Linked DNA regions of Schizosaccharomyces pombe. Changing the gene in region 1 together with any one later gene gives a genetic interaction. Each region holds a gene or a part of one and is shown on either strand. Other genes may lie near its edges. The genes, in order: pfd1, arg12, pro2 and SPOM_SPBC365.16.

Evidence for each region.
Region 2: mutations in pfd1 (region 1) and arg12 together harm fitness more than expected from each alone (negative genetic interaction), as found in Schizosaccharomyces pombe (one large-scale study listed by BioGRID).
Region 3: mutations in pfd1 (region 1) and pro2 together harm fitness more than expected from each alone (negative genetic interaction), as found in Schizosaccharomyces pombe (one large-scale study listed by BioGRID).
Region 4: mutations in pfd1 (region 1) and SPOM_SPBC365.16 together harm fitness more than expected from each alone (negative genetic interaction), as found in Schizosaccharomyces pombe (one large-scale study listed by BioGRID).

The regions. Positions count from the first base shown.
Region 1 is NC_003423.3:1,754,363-1,759,941, forward strand, and holds pfd1 (prefoldin subunit 1), read right to left. Parts: upstream 2,897-5,579; 5' UTR 2,735-2,896; coding exon 2,726-2,734; exon of another isoform or gene 2,629-2,725; coding exon 2,462-2,628; exon of another isoform or gene 2,311-2,461; coding exon 2,148-2,310; 3' UTR 1,904-2,147; intron 1,861-1,903; exon of another isoform or gene 1,760-1,860; intron 1,681-1,759; 3' UTR 1,539-1,680; downstream 1-1,538. Other genes in the region: DNA-binding transcription repressor, glucose sensing, Scr1, read left to right, coding at 1-924; protein Fis1, read left to right, coding at 3,445-3,826, 3,940-4,040; actin cortical patch component End3, read right to left, coding at 4,596-5,498.
Region 2 is NC_003423.3:447,819-453,946, reverse strand, and holds arg12 (argininosuccinate synthase), read left to right. Parts: upstream 1-2,921; 5' UTR 2,922-2,943; coding exon 2,944-4,176; 3' UTR 4,177-4,507; downstream 4,508-6,128. Other genes in the region: Clr6 and Rpd3L histone deacetylase complex subunit Rxt2, read left to right, coding at 908-933, 983-1,017, 1,068-1,192, 1,242-1,350, 1,531-1,958; nuclear membrane organization protein Apq12, read right to left, coding at 4,666-5,013.
Region 3 is NC_003424.3:2,025,083-2,031,132, reverse strand, and holds pro2 (glutamate 5-kinase), read left to right. Parts: upstream 1-2,265; 5' UTR 2,266-2,380; coding exon 2,381-2,435; intron 2,436-2,559; coding exon 2,560-2,858; exon of another isoform or gene 2,859-2,934; coding exon 2,935-3,789; 3' UTR 3,790-3,925; downstream 3,926-6,050. Other genes in the region: ER protein disulfide isomerase Pdi2, read left to right, coding at 825-1,904; cytochrome c-heme-linkage protein Cyc2, read left to right, coding at 4,170-4,970; actin regulatory protein gmf1, read right to left, coding at 5,373-5,798.
Region 4 is NC_003423.3:2,526,765-2,533,596, forward strand, and holds SPOM_SPBC365.16 (uncharacterized protein), read left to right. Parts: upstream 1-2,902; 5' UTR 2,903-4,223; coding exon 4,224-5,057; 3' UTR 5,058-5,450; downstream 5,451-6,832. Other genes in the region: ccr1 (NADPH-cytochrome p450 reductase), read left to right, coding at 6,699-6,832.

The DNA.
Region 1 (5,579 bases):
CCTTTATCTAATGCTCCTTCCCCACCGAAGCAGATGAATGTAGTAGGTAGTCTGCCATCATCATCCAATACTTCTCCTAATCATCTCGCATCGGTTCCCAATAGAGGCTTAACTTCTAACTCATCCACTGGTTCATTTACAAAGTATACTAATGGCTCGAGCAACTCTTTATATAGTAATTCGTCTATGCAGACTCCCTATCTGCCTAGCAAATCTAACAGTAGTACTAGCCTTCATTCAATGTATGGCGTTGGTACTACGGCTTACGCTCCTCAGTCTTTACGTTATGCCCATTACAACTATTTGCCTTATTCTCGACCCAGCGTATCCAATGGCTTTGATGATGATTCTTCGTCAAGTGATTTTGCCCATTTCCGATACCAGCGTCGCTCTCGCCCGGTTTCCCCCTGCAGCACTGCACCGAGTAGTCCTACCTTTTCCACTAGGAGCTTTAGTCCCACCCCAGACGTCACACCTCTCGTTACACCGGCACATTCTCCTCGTTTGAGACCCATGGATGATCCATCTTGCGTTCAATTACCTTCTATCCGCTCGCTTTCTCTACGACCTTCTCAAGTTCCGTTAATTCCTCCTTTGAAGTGTGATCCTAACGCCTTTTCCGCGTCTACACCAGCCTCTGGTGCTGTCTCTCGTACTCCATCGTCCGTCTCTCTGAGCTCGCTCTCCAACGTTAATAGCAGCATGCCTCACAAACCTGCATCCCAGTCGAATGTTGGTCCAGTCCGTATATCATCGAATCGACGATCACGCAAGTTCTCCTCTTCTTCGCGTGTGAGTGTCAGCAACCTTTTGGCCGGATCACCGCCATCTCCTTCTTCATCCACAAAGTCGGCGTCGTCTTCCTATTCCACCACCACACCGGCATTTTCAATAGGGCCGTTAACTCCTATGACCAAGCCCTAACCCAATATTTGCGCTGTGAACGCTAGTTACCTTTGCTTCCTTTAAACCATCTAAACACCTTGGTTGTGTGTTATGCTATTTTATAAATTAAGTATTAAATTTTTTATTAGTATCATGAGTCTCGACATTTGAGGTTCCATTGTTCAGTTTTTCTTTTTTTTTTTGTTTTAAATTTTTTTTAAACTTCTTGGCATATAATTAGTAATGTTATTTTGTGTTTATTAGACTGCTTTCATAGGTGAAAATTTATGTTATATGTTTAAATTACTTCTTGATCAGTGTATGGGTACAATAGACCATAAACTAATAAAGTTATTTTTTTTTACCGATGGTGTTTAATCCTTTTTGCTTTTATTTAGCTAAATTTATTGTATATAAAGTTGTCTGCAGATCTTATCAAAAAGTTGAACTGCAGGATCTACATTAATGACTTTAACTAGAACTACAGCAAATTACCATCATAATTTAACGGCAACTTCACAATTCGTATATAGAATTATTATTTTAATTCAGAAACAAACATCTGATATGAGAGACCTTCAAGTCCTAATATTGTCGCCATAGTTAATATTAATACATTACTACATACTTTGTTAAACAATGATTAGTGACAGTTCGTTTCGGATAATTTTATTCATAAACTATAAGTAAGCTATAAACTATTCCTTGTGCATCTCTCAAAAAGAAATCAGAAGTTAATGGAGAACAAAACAGCTTCCACACAGTTAATGATATCCTTGAAAAAATATAGAACACCTTAAAGTATGGGTCAGTAAAACAGCCAACACAAAAGTCAGACAAACAGACGTTGAAAAAGAAAGAAACAAAAGGGAACGAGAAATCTCAGACTGACGTGCAAATCAGATGGAAAAAGTTTCAGCATACGATGCTCAGTTGAACTATGCTTTTTTGGAATCATCAAAGAAATCCTTTCTCCATTTACTTTTCCAAACGTCAATTCTAACAGTAGAAAACTTACCTTAAAAGTATAACATATACTAAATTCACAAGTCTTCAAGCTTGAAATTTAAGTATCCATACACAAAAGCGCAGTCACAGTGATCAAAATTTCGGCTCACAAATGCCCCAGTATTTGTTAGAAATGCAAGAAGATTAATGGAACAAATTTACTTTAATTCTACAGTTTTAAAGATAAAAAAGAAAGTCATAAACTTTCCAATCCCATAATCCAATTTACCAATGAGATGATTATAATTGATGTTTTAAGAAATCGACTCTTTTATCTTTTGTAAATGCTGCTCAGCATTTGAGGCCGTTGTTTCGTGATATGTTTGTTTCTTTTGTAGTGCTTCAATATCTTCTCTTAAACTTGCCATTTCTGCGTCCAAATGTGTACGTACGGAAGCCAAATCGGATTTCATAAACCTGTAAATAAACAGTTAGTAAATGACTTTACATATAGATTGACAGTACGGTCAATTCCATTCCAAAAGTGCTGTTTTTGCTAATTCCGTATTCTTTCCCTATTTTTATAGAAAAGAAAATAAAAATACATGTTTCATTTTATGACACTTACATCTTTCCAAGAGAAGTATATACGGCCTTATCTTCTCCAACATCCTCTAACTCTTTTTTGGCTAATTCACTTATTTTTAGTGCCCGTTCCTTGGCAGCAATCTGTACCATTATGGTCCTCAGTTGTTGCTGTGAATCAACCGCTTTCTCTTGTATTTGACTAGCTAACTAATATGCCCAAAGCTCATTAGTTTACCATGTAACACAGTTAAAAAGAGGGAAATTCCTAACAAAATAATTCTCTTCTCAATGATGAAATACGTACATTTTGCATTATTTAAAGGAAACTTGGGTATATCTCAAGAACTTATTTTTTTTGGATTGAATTGCTCTTTCCAAAATTATGGTACAAAGAATAGTCCTTTTAATACTTTTTTTATAGACAAATCAAGAACTTTTTCAATATATTTGAATATACCACCTTTACAAGTATATCAAGTCTTAGGCAAAATGTTGGTTAGGCCTTAAGTACAAAGCTGGCATGTTACAAGCTACTTTACACTGCTTTTATTATCGGTACGTTTCGCAAATGTGAATTACATAATACGCCACAATTTGTAATAAATATTTTGTGAAATGTTTTGCCATATCCTTAAGTTCTTCCTTACATAAATTGTTGGCGATGGCGTTCACAAACGAATCTTCATTTCATTCCTTCTCTGTTTCAAATTTTTGTGGAAAAAGCATATCCATATTCTTACTAAATCGGATTTCTGGACTTTTCTATTGCTTTGGAAATCCATTATCCTTGTAGTTCACTCATTTGCGCCTCAAATCCTTTATAATTGGAATTGGCTGTTTACATTGATAATTTAGCATTTTTGCATCATACTCAACCCTTTTTTTCTTCTTTTATATTTGAGTTGTTGAATTTTTTTTCAAGTGACTGTAGTTTTTTCAACATTTTCCGTTTATTTATATTAATCCGCCTTTAAAATAATTAAGGCACATTCAAAGACCAATATAGGAAGCAATAACGACATCATGACTGAAAAACACACCCTTCGCCTCGCTGATCCTTCTGCTATTGATTCAATTATTTCTGTTGATGAGTTTCTACAAATCAAGGAACAATACGATGCAGAACAACCTCTGATTACTTTACAAACCAAATTTAACCTTGCTTGGGCATTGGTACGCTCAGATTCTACACAGCATGTACAACAGGGATTATCTTTGTTCTGCAGCATTTACAAAGATTCACCGGAAAGGCGTTTGGAATGCCTCTACTACATTGCTTTGTCCCATTACAAATTGAAGCAGTATGAAGAATCCCGTCGTTATCTCAATATGTTGTTATCCAAAGATCCAAATAGCCCAGAGGCTTTAAAGCTAAAAAACCGTCTTTACGATGCTGTTACAAAAGGTATGTTTATTTTAATAAAACTTAATGAGGTATCACATATGCATGAATGTTGTGTTTATGTTAGAAAGATGCGTTATAAATAATGAAAAGAATCATTACTAACCCGTTTTTAGAAGGATACATTGGAATGGTTGTGGTAGCTGGTGCAGTGGTGTCAGTTGCAGCTCTTGTAGGTTGGGCATCAAAACGGTTGTTTTCAAAGCGTCGTCCTTAAACCGTAAACGATATTAATCACAAGGGAGCTTTCTTTTGCATAAATTCTTCAATTTTTTCTCCTTACGAACAATAGGATTGTGGATGTATCCTTTTCATGAAACGCGTATGAGTTACGAAGGCTTTGGGAGACATTATAGTGTGCACTTTTTTTAGAAAAAGAAGATTATAAATCGAAGCTTGTTGTTTTTATTATATTATCTTTTCTTCTTACCCAGTTGATAGTTCTGAATTCGCTTGTGTTTCTTCTTAACAGCAGGGTAATAAATTTACCTCAAGGAGGTTTTAGATTGTTATAAAAAGAGAGTGAGTATTTATTATAAAAGCTGAATAAGTTCCTCCTTTTATACTAATTCAAAAGTTTTGTATCGATTAAACCAAAAAATATAATGATGGACATTAATGAATGATTTTACAATCCAATTCCCTCTTCCTGTTTGAACAGTTTATTAAGCCCAATAAAGAAAGAAAGAAAGAGTGTACCTTCGTCGATTTTCCAAGAAAACATCCAAAGACTCAAGTATTTGAGATGATGAGCTTTATAAACGAGATTTTGTTAAGACAGACTACGAAGCCTTTCCTCTAGCTTAGCCACTTGAGACTTCCGACCTTCCAAGTGACGTCCCAAAACATTAAGTTGTTGTTCCAGCATTTTTAAGTCATTATCAATGGCGGAAGCGCTGGGGCCATTTGGTCCATCATTTTTTAGAGATTGAAGGATACCCAACTTATAGTCAAGTACTTTCTGTAAATCACGTTGAATAAGCTTTGACTTATTTTGTGCAATGTTAACATCGTCAGTTTCACGTTGAAGGGAAAGAATCTTTTCGTCCAATTTGGACAGCTCATTTCTTAATGAAATCAGCTCCCAGTCAGAGTCTCTCACATCCCTCGGGGCATCAAGATCACTCTTCGGCTTCGCACCACCCGTAGATGGAGCCATTGTAGGTGAAGAGTAATAGTTATTAGTAGAGTTGTAGGAATCTAAATTATAATCGATATTTCCTCTCTTAAAACTAGCCTTTAAACTGTACGGGACATCATTAGGAATACGGAATCCGTTGGATCTCTGAGTAAGGATGTGCAAAAATACTAAACACTGATCTTTCTGTATGGTTTCAGTACCCTGAGGATTGACAAGTTTCCAAGCCTTCTGAATTTGAGAGTTGGGAACCCCAAAAGGAGTAAATACAGGTGCCAGGCCATTAAAAGATACTTCTCCGTGTTTATTGCAATGTAGGGAGTAAATATCGGAATATCGAATTTTATCGGATGGAGAAATGTACCAATCAAATCCATCTTTTAAAACGGCATCTTCCGGGTCGGTATCAAGCGAAGGTACTTTGTGTAAGAGAGCAATATCATCATTTCCACGAAGAGCATCTCGAGCTGCTACTAAATGCTTTTTGGAAGTAGACACCAACGCCTCGGGTACTCTATCTGGAACGGTTTTGTAAACCTAATGGTTAGAAATGATGAAAATAGACAAAAAAAGAAACCCTAAAAACCAAAGGTAGCCTTTCACAATAAAAACAATCAA
Region 2 (6,128 bases), 1.3 Mb from region 1:
CGTATCAAAACATATACATTCTTCTGGAATCGAGCTGTCTGCGATTGAATGAACTATATAGTATTGAGAGATTTTACAATTAAGTGTTTGTCTTTAATTTCTAATTGCGACTACCATCCTAAAATTTTCATTTGAGTTGAAATCTGTTTAACAACAACAGATGAGCCATATTTTTCATTGACTTTATACATGATTGTCACCATTAGTTCCTTTTTTTATAAAAATTAAATGTTGTTTAACTATTCTGCTCATTTGTTTTGCTTAAAAACTAAGTAGGTTTTAATTGGTAAGAATTTTACGAGATTTTAAATTTTTATTTATTTACTTATTATTTTTGACGAACGCTAGTTTCAAAAAAGCAAATCCAAACTCGAGGTATTTTCAAATTGTTTAAAATTTTCAATAGAATGGAAGGATGTTTTTTAATGCTTTCCACATCTTTGAATTGGAAATTTCCTTTTAATATTTACACTTCTTCCAAGAAAACTATAGCAATTTGTTTCATTATAACGACATAAGTTTGTAGGAGAAAAAGTGTGAGAATATAAAAGTTCCATAATAATACATTATTCTCTATGGATTAATTATTTTTTTTAAATATTTTTTTAAGTTAAAAAGCTGGTCTTTCCATCCATGTAAAAATTGGAAAAGGAATATCGAGAAAGCAAAATAAACCAGGCCCTACCTGCGGAAAGGGATTTTTCTTATTATTCAAGAATACTAGCAGCTTACCTCTAACGATTAAAACAATGTATATTTTTGTTTCAATACTATTTATTTATAAATTGAATAAGTAACCCAACTTACGCCAGGTTATTTTCGCATTTTATGTAAACGCTATAATGCGATAGAAATCGCTAATTTGTACTGGATTGAGTAAGTATGAATATCTGACGTGCCAAAAACCATGAAGCAATTTGAAGAACAAATTGAGTAGGTTTTTATGAATGTCACGTATTATGTATTTTTCTAACAAATTTAGAAGGTTTAAGCAGGCGTTATTTGAAGATTCTGATGGTAATTATTGTCAAAATGAGATTTATAATTTTCACTAACATCTCGTATAGCCTCGGATTCCGACTCTTCCATTGGAGAGGCACTTACAAATCGTGGATTAAAAAGAAAGAAAGGATCGAAAAATGTATATTATGGTTGCGTCGGTAACTCTAGTGGCTCCTCTATAGACATTGATGTATGTGTGAGTAATTGGGAATCGTAAACTGCTAACCACTACTTTATAGTACTATAACATTGGTAATACTAAAAGAGGAGTTGTCTCTCATTTTCGAAGGAGAATAGATCCGGAATGGTTGGACCATGATAACCCATATAACGATATAAACATAGCTGGTAAGTCGTACACACACTTAGTTATGTTAGACATACAATTTTTTTGATTCATTGTGCTTTTGGAGATTTCGTGTTGTGTTTTCAAAGATTGATTATGAATTGAATTGAAATATTAGTTATCAGCACTCGCCAATCATGGTCATATACATCGATCGCTTGCTAACTCAGTAAAAATTATAGAGATCATGTCACCGCTGACAAAACCACAAGACTTGCTCACACATCCTGCTATATCTTCCATATTTGAACAAAATTATTTATCAATCCTTGCTTCTTCTGCTCTTGAAATTATATCTGCTGAACACAAATATACTGCTCATCTCGAACAATTGATGGTTGCACTTTTAGGTGATGACCCATCACTACCAGGACCACCTCATGAAGTGTTTGGGATTTCTCCTGAACAGTGTAGAGAATTGACGATCACAGTTCAAGAAGCTTTGGAAAAAAGCAAGGAGTTTATTAGATGCTGGACAAACGTTCGCATGGACCTTCTTCGGGCCATTCGTTTTAAAAACAAAGTCATTGCTTACTGCCAAGGTGAAGACTATAATGGTAATACCCAAGTTTTGTCTAAAAATGAGAGTGATGGAAAACCAAATTCCTAAAATTTATTGATTTCTCATCAATCTTTTCAATTTCATTATTTTGAAGCTGATGAAGCGTATAAGTCAGCAAAATAAAACGTTGAGAATATTATTCTTTATTCCATTCGATTTACAATTCCTTTTTACGACATTATAAAAATAGAATTATCCTTTTTTAAAACGTCTTTGGTGATTTCTTCTGCAATGAAACTTAATTATTTCTTTTACTTTTTCATAACGTTGGGTTTTTTCTCAAGCTTGGCATCCCCAGCTATTAGAAACTTTGTCTTATAATTTGAGATACTGCTACTTACATATTCCCTTTGGCTATCCTAATTTCTATCCACACTTTTTTCTACTTATTCTTTCCAAGGGAAGTACGTTTACGTTTGCTGTTACATAATTTCATTTATCACTGTTGTATATTTTTTCGTTCAATCAACCGACTAACATGTGCTTGCCATTTGTATGTTAATACATTACTTATCCTTTATTTTGCTTTTTCATTTCCCCAAAGTATTAAAATTGTTATTTGTTGTGAAATTGCCCAACCTTCTTTTTGTTAGAACAATGTAAGTGCTTGAAACAACAAGATTACAAGGATTTATCGCAAAACATATTCAAGTAAACATCAATCTTTAAAAACCTGAAACCATCAGAACTATTGTTTGACTGTCCCTGATATGATTGTATCACTTTCTTCCTCAAAACTAAATTCAGACACACTAATCAATGCATGTGTGACAAGATATTTACGATTCCTGCATGTAATTTAACCGAAACCTGTTTTCACACATTTCTCAATTAAATTTTTGTTAAGAATTCCTATACTAAGAAAAATTTTCAGATGTGTGTAAAATTTCCATCGTTTATCTATAAAGATGGTTTATTGATGAGAAAGATAGTAAAAAATAGTGTCGGCTATATTATTACATCAGTGCGCTATCAGTTTAAAAGGTTGGGCCTACTAACTTAACATATACTACACCTCAAGAAAAAGAAAGAAATGCCCCAAGAAGTAAAACGTTGCGTTCTCGCCTATTCAGGTGGTCTTGACACCTCCTGTATCCTCGCCTGGCTTATTGAAGAAGGTTGGGAGGTCATCTGCTATATGGCTAATGTTGGTCAAGAGGAAGATTGGGATGCAGCCCGTGAAAAGGCCTTGAAGGTGGGTGCTAAGAAGGTTTACGTTGAGGACTTGCGTGAAGAGTTCATCAATGACACCGTCATTCCTGCTGCTCAAGCTAACGCCATTTACGAAAATGTTTATCTCTTGGGCACTTCTCTTGCTCGTCCTATCATTGCTCGCCGTCAGATCCAAATCGCCGAGAAGGAAAACTGTATCGCTGTCTCTCACGGTTGCACTGGTAAGGGCAACGATCAAGTTCGTTTCGAATTGGCATATTACGCTTTGAAGCCAGACGTTCAAGTCATTGCTCCTTGGCGTTTGCCTGTATTTTTCGAGCGCTTCGCCGGTCGTAAGGATTTGCTCGAATATGCTGCTGCTAAGGGCATTCCCGTTACTCAAACCACCAAAAAGCCTTGGTCTATGGATGAAAACATTGTACATTGCTCGTATGAAGCTGGAATCCTCGAGGATCCCAGTATGACTCCTCCCAAGGACATGTGGAAGCTCACCGTTGATCCCAAAGACGCTCCTGATGAGGTTGAAGAGCTCAGCATTCACTTTGAAAAGGGTGCTCCCACCAAATTAGAGTGCAAGGATGGTACCTTTAGCGGAGTCGTTTCCATCTTCTACCAATTGAACGCTATCGCTCGTCGTAACGGTGTTGGTCGTATCGATATTGTTGAAAACCGTTTCTCTGGTTTGAAGAGTCGTGGTTGTTACGAAACTCCTGGCTTAACCATTTTGCGTACTGCTCATATGGACTTGGAAGGTTTAACAATGGAACGTGAAGTTCGTGCTCTCCGTGACCAATTCGTTACTTTCAATCTCGCTAAAATTTTGTACAATGGACAATTTTTCTCTCCCTGCACTCGTATGCTTTTAGCAGCTAACAACGTTTCTCAAGAGGTAGTAAACGGTGTAGTTAAACTTTCTGTCTACAAGGGCAATGTCACTGTCCTCGGTCGTAAATCTGATACTGCTCATCTTTATGACGAGAAATTGTCATCTATGGATGAGCTTGGTGGATTTGACCCTACATGGACCTCTGGTTTCATCCAAATCGAGTCTATGCGTTTGCGTAACTCTGATGAAGGAAAACATTGGATGTAAATGCCAGGTCGTTCTCAATAATAATGTCATACTCACCATGTACTTGAGCCAAGCAATAATCAAATTTCTGCTGTGCAAATAAGAAGTATTATTTGAGATGGCTTCCTTTTCATATTCACATTTCATAGAATTACTCCGTTCATATCACTGATAAGTCAATTGAATATTTTTGTTGCAAAAAAAAAATAAATTCTGAAAACTGTAACTAATTGAAATTGAAGTTTTATATTGCAAACGCAAATTGTTAAGATGTTTAATGTACTCAATACTATGCTTTTAATTTAAAAAATATTTTACAGGCCTTTAGCCATTCTTCGTATACAGTCCTAAAATCAAGAATAATGTCGAAACCATCTTGAATGATAAATGAAATGAGGAACAAAAAAGATGAAAAATATATTACTAAAATAAAATTTTTTAAAGCATATCCATAACACTTTGTACTCGGTAATCTGAAAAAACAAAGAAGATAACGCTGCTAGTCAATGTTCAAAAAGATCCGTTATTGATAAACCAGTAAGCAAAGAGACAACCGATTAGTAAGAAAAAAGAAATTACAGCAAGTGTTTTGAAGAGGGCAAGGGCAATACTGGTAGTCTTATTTACAATGACCAAAGAGAAGTATAACACTATAATCAAAGTCAAGATATTAATAGCTGAGGGCAAGCTCAATCCTAGATTTCCATTGAACAATGATTTTAGGAAAGACGTTTCATATTTTTCGAAACTTTTGCCTACATTTTCAACGGTTTGAAAGACTTGATCAGGATTGGTATTTAATCCATGGTCCACAGCAAGTTTGGCGACGAAATTCCATAAAACGGATGTCAAAGACATTTTCTAAAAAGTTAAAATATGAACGGGGAGTAATAGAGATGGGAGTAGTTAGGTGTGCTTTTTGACTGAATGTTGACGTTGTAGGCGAATTTTACCAACGATTACATTTGCTAATAAAATATGTTAAAATAAAAATTGGAAGATGAGTTGAAATAAACGGTTCTATAAACAAAACTCATTTAAAGAAAGAACTGGCAAACAGATTATGTCAACATATCTCATCTAATATCGAGACTACTGATAAAAAAATCTAATTTGCTAATGACTACAAGCTTTTATTGTTTACTCTTTGTTGCTTACAGTTCTAGTCAAAGGAGGTATTTTATTTTCGTATTTCGCTGTACATAGCATAATTTCATGAAATGCTTTTCTCTATAAATATGCTTTTATAAAGAACTAGTTAATAAAAAATTGCTTATTTCTAAGCTCTTTTAGGATTAGTAATATATAAAAAGGAAGATAAGTATTTTTATCCCTTTTTAACTGGATTGTTATTACTATAAAAGAAAGACTCTTACGGTTGATAATAAAAGCGTAGAGATCAGAAGATAAAAGTAGAATTCACCGCCTATATTTCCTTTGGAATAAATATCCAACAGTATACTTACTATTATAGAGAGAAAATTAATTTCCCTTTGCCCTTTATCATATAAAATGGTTCTTTTTATGCTGAGTGCCTAGCATAATTCCTTCCTTTTCGAAATATCAAAAGGCTTGTGAGACTTCAATTGGTAAATGCTTTAAAGTGAGTTATTACTAGCTCGCTTCAACCACTTCAGCTTGATTCTCCAATAACCGAGTTTTCAAAAGTACTCATTCTTGCAATTGCTATAAAATTTTTATCTTTATTTATACCATTACCATTGTAATATTGTTATAAGGCATCGCTTTACTTACTGAACATAAAAAAAATCTTCATCATAAAATTAATTAAATGTCAGAATAGAAAAAAGTGTTTAGAGGGTCCAACCGTACAAACAAACAACTTTTACGTTTTTAACATTTTCATTTCTTCAATAACCCCACAGTTGTTTTAAGCTATTACTTAAGCGAGGGCTGCACATGACAATGTGGCTAGTATACCCTTTATATACATTTTGAATATGCATATGAAA
Region 3 (6,050 bases), on another chromosome or scaffold:
AGTGGATTGCAGGTTACGATGAGTGTACCATAGAGAGTGATTGCATCTTTCAATCTCGTTGGCCAATTTAAAGCATTCTCTGCTTTACCTACTAACACTTCAAAATTTTAAGTGGGATTGAAATACTTATGTGGGGGTCTTTTGTTTATTATTAACTTTCAAAGGCCTATGTGGGGAATTTTTTTAAAACTACTAAGTAGTACTACCTCCTGGTGGGGGTTCGAGGTCGATTAACAACTCACTCTTGATCATATGTGTTTTATCAAATTCATTACTCAATTCTAAAATTAATATTAATTTTGATTAATAAACCTCAAATCAATTGTAAATAGAAAAAAAATTGTTTGTAATGTTCACTTTTTTTGTTTGTGATTTTTATTACTGCTTAAAGCTTTCTGAATGCTAACCCTCAGTTGATTTGAATATAGGGATACGCCCGAGCACGGTAGTTTTTTACTATTGACAAGTAAACGTACTGTAATAACAGCAATAACTGAACTTAATAACATAGGTTCACTAGAGCTTTCTTGTATAATAGTTCAATCAATAATTTGTAGGTCTTAAAATGCGTTCATGGATGCGCTAGCGATATAAGCTTACCAAAGTGTGGAATAAAGAATACAGTGACGAATGAAGCTACTAAATAGTGCAATTTAGTGAATATTCCTTTTGTTATAGATAGGTAACATGGGTAACGATGCTCAGTAAGCTCATTCAAACATGACACAGCCGGCTTCGTACAGCTTACATTACCCAACGACATATACATACTTTTGTTGTACCTGTCCCGTATTTGTGGACACTGGAAAAGTAGAATACTTAGAATGAGATTACCTCTGCTGAGTTTTGTTATATTTGCGCTTTTTGCGCTTGTATTTGCATCAGGTGTTGTAGAGCTCCAAAGTCTCAATGAGTTGGAGAATACTATCCGAGCTTCTAAAAAAGGAGCATTGATTGAGTTTTACGCCACCTGGTGTGGACATTGTAAATCTTTAGCGCCAGTGTATGAAGAACTTGGCGCTCTTTTCGAAGACCACAATGATGTCTTGATTGGCAAAATTGATGCGGATACACACTCCGATGTTGCTGATAAATACCACATTACTGGTTTTCCAACACTGATCTGGTTTCCTCCTGATGGATCTGAACCAGTTCAGTACTCCAATGCTCGCGACGTTGACAGTTTGACTCAATTTGTGTCTGAGAAAACTGGTATCAAAAAACGCAAGATTGTCCTCCCTAGCAATGTAGTTGAGCTCGATTCTTTGAATTTTGACAAGGTTGTTATGGACGATAAAAAAGATGTTTTAGTTGAATTTTATGCGGATTGGTGCGGTTATTGCAAGCGTTTGGCTCCTACTTACGAAACTCTTGGCAAGGTATTCAAAAACGAACCAAACGTTGAGATTGTTAAAATTAATGCAGACGTCTTTGCTGACATCGGAAGGCTACATGAAGTTGCAAGCTTTCCCACCATCAAATTCTTTCCTAAAGATGATAAAGATAAGCCTGAATTATACGAAGGAGATCGTTCTTTAGAATCTTTGATCGAGTACATTAATAAGAAATCTGGAACTCAACGTTCTCCCGATGGCACTTTACTTTCTACTGCCGGCCGTATTCCAACTTTCGATGAATTTGCTGCTGAGTTTTTGGATATGTCAAACGCTGCCAAGGAAGTTGTTCTTGAAAAAGTCAAGCAGTTAGCCTTAGAGGATTCATCTAGATGGACTAAGTATTACAAGAAGGTTTTTGAGAAGATTTTAAATGATGAAAATTGGGTACATAAAGAAGCTAAGCGTTTGTCTAAACTTTTACGCCAGAAGAGCATCGCTTTGGCCAGTGCTGATGATTTTAAAACTCGCCTTAACATTCTAAATTCCTTCCTTCCTGGTAATCACTAGTGATTTGGAAATGTTTGCTACGTTATAGGTGAAAAAACTTAATCTTATGACCGTAGGTTTATAAATAAATCAACAGTTTCATGATATTTTCGATAAATACTGAGGAATATGTAGGTTAAAGTATTACCCTTTAACAATTTTTTATGTACTTATAAAAATAGATTTTCTCTCCATTAATGATTTGTGTCTTTTTTAGTTTCTACGTATATGATAAACTAAAGACAATAATTAATATTAAATAGAACGTTGTAGGTAAATTCAACAGCTATATACTCTAACAGGCTTTTATCCTTAAAATTGAAATCCAAATCCTACATATAATTATTCCTTATCAATGGGCTATAAGGCTTTCCGTTATTTTACCACTACTAGATGGGCCGTTGATTTGTAAAGGTGAAGACAAGTCGTATTCCACTAAAATTTATCCTTTTTTTAAAAAATAAATTTCAACAGTAACTTTGTAGATTTTTTTTAAAATGTCTCCGAAGTCGAAAAGCACAAATAAGACTTACACAATTGTCATCAAACTTGGTAAGCACGGAATAGTAAGCTATACAAAAGCATATGTATGAATTTTATATCTCACTTTTTCAAATATGTATTTCTTTGTTTGCTCGTTGTTGGCATCACAAACGCTTTGCTAACATTATTTTAGGCACATCGTCAATTTGTGATGAAAAGACTCATGAACCATTAATTTCAAATTTGTCACTAATCGTTGAAACCGTTGTCAAGCTTCGAAAGTTGGGTCATAATGTCGTTTTGGTTTCAAGTGGTGGTATTGCAATGGGCCTTCGTAGATTAGATTTACCTAAGCGTCCTTCAAAGCTTTCTGCTGTACAAGCAATTGCCGCGGTCGGTCAAGGAAGACTAATTTCCTTATGGGATACCTTATTTACACAACTTCGTCAGCCTATTGCGCAAGTTTTAATCACTAGAAACGACATTGCCGAGGTAAGATTCAGATAATTATTGTTGACACTTAAAAAATTATTTTAATTACTGACGGGTACTAACTATTAATATTTAGAGATCCCAATATGTAAATGCAGCGAACACAATTTCCGAGTTGCTACATTTTGGGGTAGTTCCCATTGTAAATGAAAATGATACTCTGTCTGTTCAAGAAATCCGTTTTGGTGATAACGATACTTTATCGGCAATTACAGCTGGCATGATAAACGCAGATTATTTGTTTTTACTTACAGATGTTGATTGTTTGTATACAGACAACCCACGTACCAACCCTGACGCTAAGCCTATTTTAAAAATTCATGATACATCAATGGTAAATGCAAACGTTTCCACACCCGGTAGTGGAGTTGGAACAGGGGGAATGAAGACGAAATTGATCGCTGCAGATTTGGGAACGTCTTCAGGCGTAAATGTTATAATATGTCGTGGTTCTAAACCTTCGAGTATATTCGATATAATCCGTCAGGAATCCTCTGATAATAAAAATGAGTCAGTTGAATTACCTCTGCATACCCACTTTGTAGCCAAAAAGCAAGGAAGGATCCGTGATCGACACTTTTGGCTTTTGCACGGCCTTAAATCACATGGGAGTTTGGAAATTGATCGTGGGGCTTTCGAGGCTATAACCCGTACAAATAGAGCAGGATTACTACCAGTTGGTGTAACCAAAGTACATGGCCATTTTTCAGCTCACCAAGCAGTTACGGTTATTTACAACGGAGAGGAAATTGGCAGAGCCCTTGTTAATTACAGCAGTACTGAAATAGATTTGATTAAAGGCAAGAGAAGCAAAGAAATTGCATCCATCTTAGGATATAACGAAACTGAATATGTCGCCTACAGAGACTATTTAGTAGTTCATGGTTTAAATTCTCATCATGATTCACAAGTTAGTTCTGATGAGCATTGATGTATATATTTAATCACTAGCTTATTTAGAACTACTAAAATTTGTTTTTGCTCTGTTTTTTACCTTTATTATTGGCTTACTGTTATTGAAATTTTTTTGTTATAGAAGGAAGGTTTACGAACTTAATATACAAAAACAGAACCATAAATATCTATTAGAAAATTTATTAAGATTTGTTTATTTTTGTTAAAAAACTATTAACCTTAGATAATAATCAGACGTTTTGTACTGAGTTGTGTAATTAACAAAGTACATTTTGTTGGTATTATATCGGATACTTCCTACGAAGCCTGTGATTGGATTTGGCTTTCATAAACGATGAATATAAGTACACGCAATTCCAACCTCCCCTTGATACAGTAAAACTTACAAAGAAAACAATGAGTAGCTCGACTTACAGGAAATTGCCTAAAATCTTAGCTGCAGGTCTTGCTATTGGTTGCGCAGGTGGTTATTATGCTTATAAAAATTCGAATAAGCCCCCAGGACTTAATCCCGAAATTTATGCTCCATTTACAGTTAATAAAATTACAGAGCTTACATCCGATGCTAGCTTGTTTTCGTTAGTTCCTCAGAGCCCTTCTGAACACCTTACTACTTTGGAACCGATTGCTAAGGTAACAATTCGTGATCCCAGTATGCAAGTCCAGAGACCATATACCCCTTTGTACTTGGATGCCAATGAATTAAAGTTCTTTATTAGAAAGTATGAAGAGGGTCCCGTTAGTTCTTATATTCATTCTAAGAAAGAAGGGGACACTATTGAACTTCGGGGTCCTTTTAAAACCACCAAACTCGATTGTACGAAGTACCCAAGAATCGTAGCTATCGTTGCAGGAACAGGAATTGCTCCTATATATCAATTAGCTCAGTCTGTTAAATCCCCAGTCGATATTGTATACTGCTCAAGGCCTGGTCAGCCCCCTTTGCTAAAAGAAGAATTGGAAAAGGAATGCCCAAACGTAAGGGTGAAGTCCGTCCAAAATCGTTTGGTAAACATTCATGACATTTTGGATTGGGATAATGTTACAGTTCCTTTAAAGGATACCCTTTGCATTGTCTGCGGTAGCCAGAAGTTTGTTTCTACAATTGCCGGACCGAAGGCTGATTATGGCGCAAGACAAGGAGAAGTCAAAGGACTTTTATCAAACAATCCGTTTGGGAAAGTTTGGAAGCTTTAGTTTAGAAATTTTTGGCTTAAGATTTTGGGTTGCACGATCTTTGGACAATTGTGCATAATACAAAAACGATTTTTTTGTTTATCTTCAAATAATTTATTTTTACCGATTTGGAAATAAATTTATACAAATAAGGGAACTCTTAAACGTTACGTGTTATCAATGAAATGGAGCGGTTTTCTTAGGTAATGGAGAGAAAATAAAAAAAATAGTATTTAAAAAGTTTCTAAGTGTATAAATTTTTATCCATTAAATCTAATTGTTATTGAGGGTTTATGCATCTGCTGCTAAGCAGGTATAGTATGTCAAAAAGAAAGCCCATACAAGCAAAATATCTTTAAATAATTAATTGCATAAAATGTGAACGAGGGAAAGGTTCATTTTCAACTCGCATATAAACAAGCATTAATGCAAAAACTCATCAACTGCTTCACTAGTAATATCTTCAGAATCTCTAGCTTCAAATACTTTGTGCACCTGCGACACATCTTGAAACCAGACTTTAGCAGAAGCATAAATCATAGATAAGTCATTTGGGGTAGCACTTGGTCTCCAGTATATCATAAACAATGGAGTACTAAGTCGACCATCTGTGGTTTTGGTAGGATAGGAAACAAGGATAAATCTAGGATTTGTTTCCGAGAGTTCATCTGCGACCTCTTCAATACTCTGTAAATCCATGATTTCTCCATCGGGAACAATCTCCTTAGTAGCTTTATCAACCTTGAGAATGAAAGCATACATAACTGATTTCTTCAACCGCAAACGAAATCGATCAATTTCTTTCATCGTGGTATCCGAAATGGTGAACATACGAGCCTCTGATGACATCTTTCTTGTTAGTTTATAATATTTATGTAAAACCACAGCAATAGCCAATTAAGGAAATTTAATTTCGAGGGTGGTGCTTTTGTTGGGTTGAATTAATACCGTTCGTGCAGAATCCTAAAAGATATTTAAATTCATGCTAGGAGTTAAAAATTTATTTTTGAGTTTTGATAGATAATTATTGATTTTTTAAATACAAATTATTCATCAATTTTATTATATTCAAAAAGTCTATATCCACGTATGTGATATCTT
Region 4 (6,832 bases), 770 kb from region 1:
AATTGACAAAAAGACGACTGCCATTGGCCATGAATTTAAGAATGATTATGGAGAAAGGCATGGCGAGCGTTTAATATGCCAACACTTGTGTTATATAAAAAATAATCGATTTTTTAAAATGTCTGAAACAGGGTTTGCTGATAATGCCTGAGGAATGGTAACTTGGATTTTTGATCGCTAATTTTTTATTAGCTATGTCGCTAAATTTAAGGCAAGTCGGCAGTATGCCGCGTGATTGAGGAAGAACGAAGAGAGAGGCTAAGCATTTGTTCCTAGTCTAAAGAGCTATCGATTGATTTTGAAGTGATACAATGTATGCTAACGTTTGTACCATAGACAGCTATAGTAATGAACTTTGTTATGTGAAGAAGTACAGTTGCTACGACAGTAATGATGATGATGTATGTATATAAAAACCAAACCAAGGTTTAATTTAGGTGGTTATAGTATTGTATACGCAAAACTATTCATTTGTGTGCACTCGTAATGAATTTCTAGTAATTGTATTTTGCAGTTAAAAGTTTAATGGATGCGTAAACAAAGGAACAGGTAAGCTAGTAAAGCGCATACAAAAATTGTAATATCGAAGGAAAACGTCAATTTAGATTAGTGTAGGATGGTTATTACGAAAGGATAGAGTTACTATGAAAAGTGAGTACAGATTGTATGATTAAGTATGGGGGCGATAGCTGGGTGTGAGGCAAAGGAATCATATGACTTTAGAATTATCGCATCAAGGAGTAAGAAAAACGAAAACTTATCTCACAGTGGATTGCCCAAAATTATCAATCCCCCACCATGTAAGAGGAAACAAGAGAAACAGAGAGAGGGAGAAAGAAATAATTAGAAACTAGCAAATATACTTTACAGATTACAAATGGACACGATAAGTAAGTTAAGATGAAATAAAGGGGAAGATAACAAGGAACGGAATATAAAAGAGCATTTCGAACCGAATGAAACATTTTAAGCCGAATGTATTGAAATCGAAATATTTGAATTGAGAGATTTTTATTTTATCTGACTAATGATGAGAAAGGATAGAAGAGAACAAATAGAATAGAAATAGAACTAAAGATAAAAAATATGAGAACCAAAATAGCAAAACAAAAAAAGCTAAATACTAGGTAATTAATAAAAAAAAATTTAAAAAAGGATTTCTAGTAAGCGTACTACTAAAACAAGTTTAAGGATTTGATGAAAGATTGTATGTTAGAAAAATTTTCATCCTCTTTTTTTTTTTTTTTTTCTTCAAACTTCATACAAACGTAAATATCTCTCAAATTTTGCAATACCGTCCTCTTCTTCCTCGTCGATTTAGATCCGAAATTCTCCTTGGCAGCAGGGGACGGAAAATGAAATAAAGTGTTTTAGCAATTGGGATCGCGAAACCACCTGCTAGAAAGTGTTTAGGAAGAGAGTCGCCGTTCGAAACATAGCGATAACGAGTTCAAGAGCAGTATCCGTAAATTCAGAGGATTAGTGAGTGCCAACACTTCTTATAGATTACGGATAGTAAGCAGTAGTAGATGAAGGATGATGGATAGGTGGATGATCGGGGTGGGAGAAAGTAGGGAGACAGAAGGAAAATGGAATGTAGCTAACTGATAATGAAGAGAGAGAGAGAAAGATTATTTCGTAGATAAAATTTGGTGAGCTTTGACAAGATAAGTTTTGTTGGAAAAATTATGAAAGTATGCAAGAGTGTGAAGAGTAAACAAAAAAGAAAAAGAGACGTTATAAGAGGAAGGATGAGTTTGATGATCTTTTAATATCTAACGAACATAAAAAACTAATGAATGTAATAATTAATAAATGAAGCAAACTAGCGAATGCAACACCACCTATTGATTGCTTTATTTATTTATTTTTTTGCTTGACAAATACCCTTTGGATTTACTCACTATCCATCTTATCCACCGTAGGGGCCATAGTAGACTCGCCTTTCGGCAGCCTTAAAAACGCTACCCTATGTTTCGGGTTTAGGGTGTGAATACGCTATCCATCTAAGGGTCCGTTCGTTTATCACACCCAAATCTTGATGTCGAGGATCTCAGTCTTCAACGTCACCATCTGAAAATTTACTCTTGTTGGGTTGTTTCGCCCGACAAGACTAGACCTAGCAATGACAAGCAAAGTAGAGAAAGTAAAGTAAAGAAAACAATAGAAAAGAAATCAACAAAAAAGCAAGAGTAGAAAAGAGTATTAGCCGTTTCTAAGATTTTGAGCAGCGACTCTCTACAATGTTTACACTGTTTACATTGTAGGAATAGTCGCTTGCAATGAATAGCTGCATCGCTACTAGAACTATTGCATGTGAAACAGTAAATACCAGACTAGAAAGATGAGAAGACCACTAGAGAAGAAGGACTAGAGGAGAAAAGGGACTAGAGGAAAAAAGGAACTAGAGAAAAAGGACCAGAGAAAAAATGATTAGATGAGTAAGTGAGTTAGAAAAAAAACAATTAACCACAAAAAAAAATAAATAAAAAATAAAAATAAAACAATCAAGAGCATGCCTTATTTGTCAGCAACCTTCCTTTATTAGACAGCGTCAACACATCTCAATACAAAATCTTCATCTCACTTCCTCCTATACTTCAACACAGCATCTTCCACCTTGTCTTTTTGCTTGCCCCGCTGCCGCCCTTCAAGCTCGTCGGTACTTGTTCTCATATTCGGTTTTACCTCGGATGCTGTTACCTCGATACCAGGTTGGGTCACCTAATTTTCTTGCAAAAGTCCGTTATCCCAAGTTGTCCCAAGTTGTTCGGTCTTGCTAATTAAGGGGATCATCACCCTATCTTGACCCGTTTAACGCAAGATAACACAGAATCTTTAAGACTAAAAATTGATGCCAACTTGATATAAAACGTGCTTCGTTCGCTCTTTTTTCTCTTCCAGCTCGCCTCTTCAAGCACTTGATCCAATTACGACACGAGAAGAAGGATAGGAACCAGCGTAACTGGGAACAACTAGCAACTATTACGAGCAATATCTTTTAAAGTCCTTAGACACTCTTGTTTACTCACTGCTATCCCATACTCATACTGCTGCTTGCCCAGTACTATTTGTTACTGAAGAGTGTTGTTGATATTGCCATTCCTACCGCTACTACAACCACCACAGTACCACCACCGCTTTTTTTACGCATCCTTTCCCCATCTCAAACGTACGGGATAATTCTCTCAAAGCGTGGAATCAAACCCTTTGTTTTAATTGTTTTTTACTCGTTCACCTGCTATTTGGTGGGCTGTCTGACTTTTGTTTTCTCATTGGCTAGTTGGATTGTTGGACAAGGTTGTCTTATCATTGCATCGATATACCTCATTTCCACCCGTTGATTGATCAACCCTTGTAAACTTAGCCTTTGTTTGCTATAGAAACGGCTTAGTCACTTGTCGTTCTTATTTTGGAAATCGTTCTGTCTTTTCCCTATATCGCCTACTTCACGTTACTGTTAGTTTTGATTGAGCGAAGCAGTTTTAACGATACGAATCAAATTGAATTGAATTTTTTTATTCACAATCCCAATCATCGTCTTATTTTTTTTTAAACCACCATCAATCTTCCTTCTTACAATCCAAGTGGTTTTGCTTTAACTTGGACTTTGTGGTTATTATTGGTTTTTTGTATTTATAATAATTTTAGGATTTCGGGTTTACCTTTTTTTGTTGATATAATATATATCTTTTTACTTAGAAAAAGAAAAGAAAGGAATATATACATTTCCAAAGTGTGAATTACTTGGTTTCCCTCTCTTTACTTGTTTTTGTTGCTACTACTACTACTACTACTTTTGTTGTTCAATTGGTCTTGTCGTCGTTTCTCGGTCTTTCATTTTTACTCAGCATCTTTTTAATTGTCTTTTTTTGGTGACATTTCCTCTCACCTGTACTATCTGCCCCGTTAGCCTATACTATTCGTGTTTAACGTTTTAAATTTTTTCCTTCATTGCATTTGTTGAAGTGCAGTTTATTTGAAGAAAAATTATTTTTGGCTTTGCTTTTTTTTCGCAATCGTCTCTTTCTTTTCAGCTTTAACGTTGTATAAATTAGATTAAACCTTTAAAAAGAGAGAAAAATAGATACCTAAAGACCTTTTGCTTGGCTTGTTTTATTATTTTCACAAAAAAGTTTTTAATATTTTTTTTATCTTTTCTGGTTTTTTTATTCTTATTTTTTATCTTTTCTAATCTTTTTTTTAAACTCTTTGACTTTAACATGGCTCTTAATAGTCAACCCCCTTTGTCCCCCAAACCCGTTCCCTCCAATACCTGGAAGCGGATCGGCATCGATGCATTTGCCGCTACAGCCGCCAGTGCCATGATTTCTCCCTTTATCTTGACGATCGACCGCTCAATCGTCGAAAATACTAGTGGCCGTTCTACTTTATTACGCTCTGTTAGTCGCTCCATCAAATATGTTTTATCAAAGCCAGGCGCCTTCTTTTTTAGCGCTCCCTTTGCCCTGGTCTTTACATTATACTCGGGCACATATATGACGGCCAATTCCATAGACACACTGGATAACATTCGTCACAAGAATCCCGTCTTCAAGGCGGAAACTTCCGGCTGGTTTAAATTCTGTTCTGTCACCGCTGCAAACAGCGGTTTATCCATCTTGAAGGATAGTTTCTTTACCAAATTTTGGGGCACCGGTTCTCCTCGTCCTCTCCCTTGGTCTTGTTACGGTCTTTATGGACTTCGTGATGCACTCACCATCGCCTTTTCCTTCAACATACCTCCTATGATTGCTCCATTACTCCCCGGTGGTTTAATCACCGCTCAATTGCTCACCCCCTGTGCCGTACAGTTTATTAGCACACCTCTTCATCTCCTGTCCCTTGACATTTATAACAGAGGTGGACCTAACATATCAGCAGCCAACCGCGTTATGCAAGTTCGTAAGCATTTACTAAAAAGCACATTCGCCCGTATGGTTAGGATTCTTCCGGCTTTTGGTATTGGCGGTGTTACTAATCGTAAATTACGAACCACTTATTTGGATTCGCTTCAACAACGTACTATGAAAAAACAACAATTTGCTCTTGCTTAGTCCATACATGACGTTCTTTCCTTTTTCTTTCGGCTATTATTATTATTATTATTTTATTATTATTATTTTTCATCATTTTTTTATTATTCACTACTGAATAGTGTCTAAAAAGTGTGTGGACTACGGTTTAAACCTATATAAGGAAAGTGGCATACATCCTGTTATCTGGAACATGAAGCTGCATACTTTTTTGAATGAACTATATAGTGTATGTGTAATGAAGGTTTCACTTAAAAAAGTTTTCTACTTGATTTTTATGCGTCTGAGTTTTTTCTTTGTCTGGAGAAGAATTTGAAGAAAAAAGAAAAACTGCAAGAGAAAATAAAGAGGCAAAGAGACACATGGTTTTCTTTTGTACATTAATAAATAAAATTTGAATTCTATTTTAAGTCATTTTCGTTTGTGTTTAGTATGGTTGAGTATCAAATTTGTGTATGTCAAAAAACGAGCAACCGTAAAGACCGCTTGTTTAGCAAATTTATTCTTTTATCGTTCGTTTACAAACAGCTTTTGCCGATAGTGTTTTACGGTCTTTGAATGGGCTTTCGGTAGAAACCTAAAACCGATAAACAGAGTGAGATTATTTCTTTTTGCATTCCAATGTTGACCAGAAAGACGATAGCTTATTCCTATCTACTAGCTTACTGAATGGTTCAAAATGTACCGTACTACGGTAGCCATATTAATTGGTTCGTCAAAATAAATCCTAAAGTGTATAGCAACGGTTTTTTCAAAGCTCACCTACTTTTTACTGATCGTCATTATAATTAGTAAAACAATAAACACCTACTAGTAGAATCGCCGATTTACCATAATTTCGTATTGCGCTTAATTCTCTTCCCGAGGTATTTTGTTATTGCGATGGCTTGCCACAATAAATTAACTATTGTACGATTGCCGTCACACTATTTCTATCTAAAAATACTCTCATTCCCATTCCCATTTTTATCTCTCCATCCATACTTACTACATATGTTGGATATCTATATCTGTCAAACTTTAACTTCGTTGAACATGCTAATTAACCAAAATTAATACATGAATTTATTAAATAGTTTTTTATTAATTAATAGAAATTTTCAAAAAGTAATCATTGAAAAATCGAACTATATTTTTTTTTTTTATATTATAGCAGTATATAGGTGCAGGAGTTACCAGCGACCAGGTATTAGCGTTTGCCAAAACAATTAGCTTTTCTCCCGAAAGGATTGCTTTTTGAAGTCAATTACTTTAGAAGCTTTCTAGCATCTATTTGATTGTTCAATTGGCATGGTTATTGTGCTCATCATATAAAGCGCAGTTGTTTCATTAATTAAGTATCTTAGCCTACATACTTCATCTTGATTTTTATAGATTCTTTAGAGTATTTGGATAAATACTTGACTTTTTGTTTAAGAGGCTATAGAAACCCTTGTTTGAGTTTCTTCATTTTTATTGTCTCGCGCTTTAGTGTATCTGCTTCAAAGTGGTTCAAGCTAAAAAAGCATAGTACTGTTTCGCTCTTTATTTCGCATCTGCCTATCATCAGACAATTCTGTTGACTCACTCGTTTTTTACACGCACATTTACCCTTGGAATAAAAGGCGGATTAAATCCCGAAGTTGAACACTCGTAAAATTTGGTTATTATATTTTTTGCATTATGAAGACTTATGAATATGTATTGCTGGTCATTATTTTGATCCTTAGCTTGTGTTACTTTATTTATAACAATTTTCTCAACAAGCCAAAGGCTCCTGAGAGGCGAGTCGTGGCTACCGACAGTATTGTCGAGTT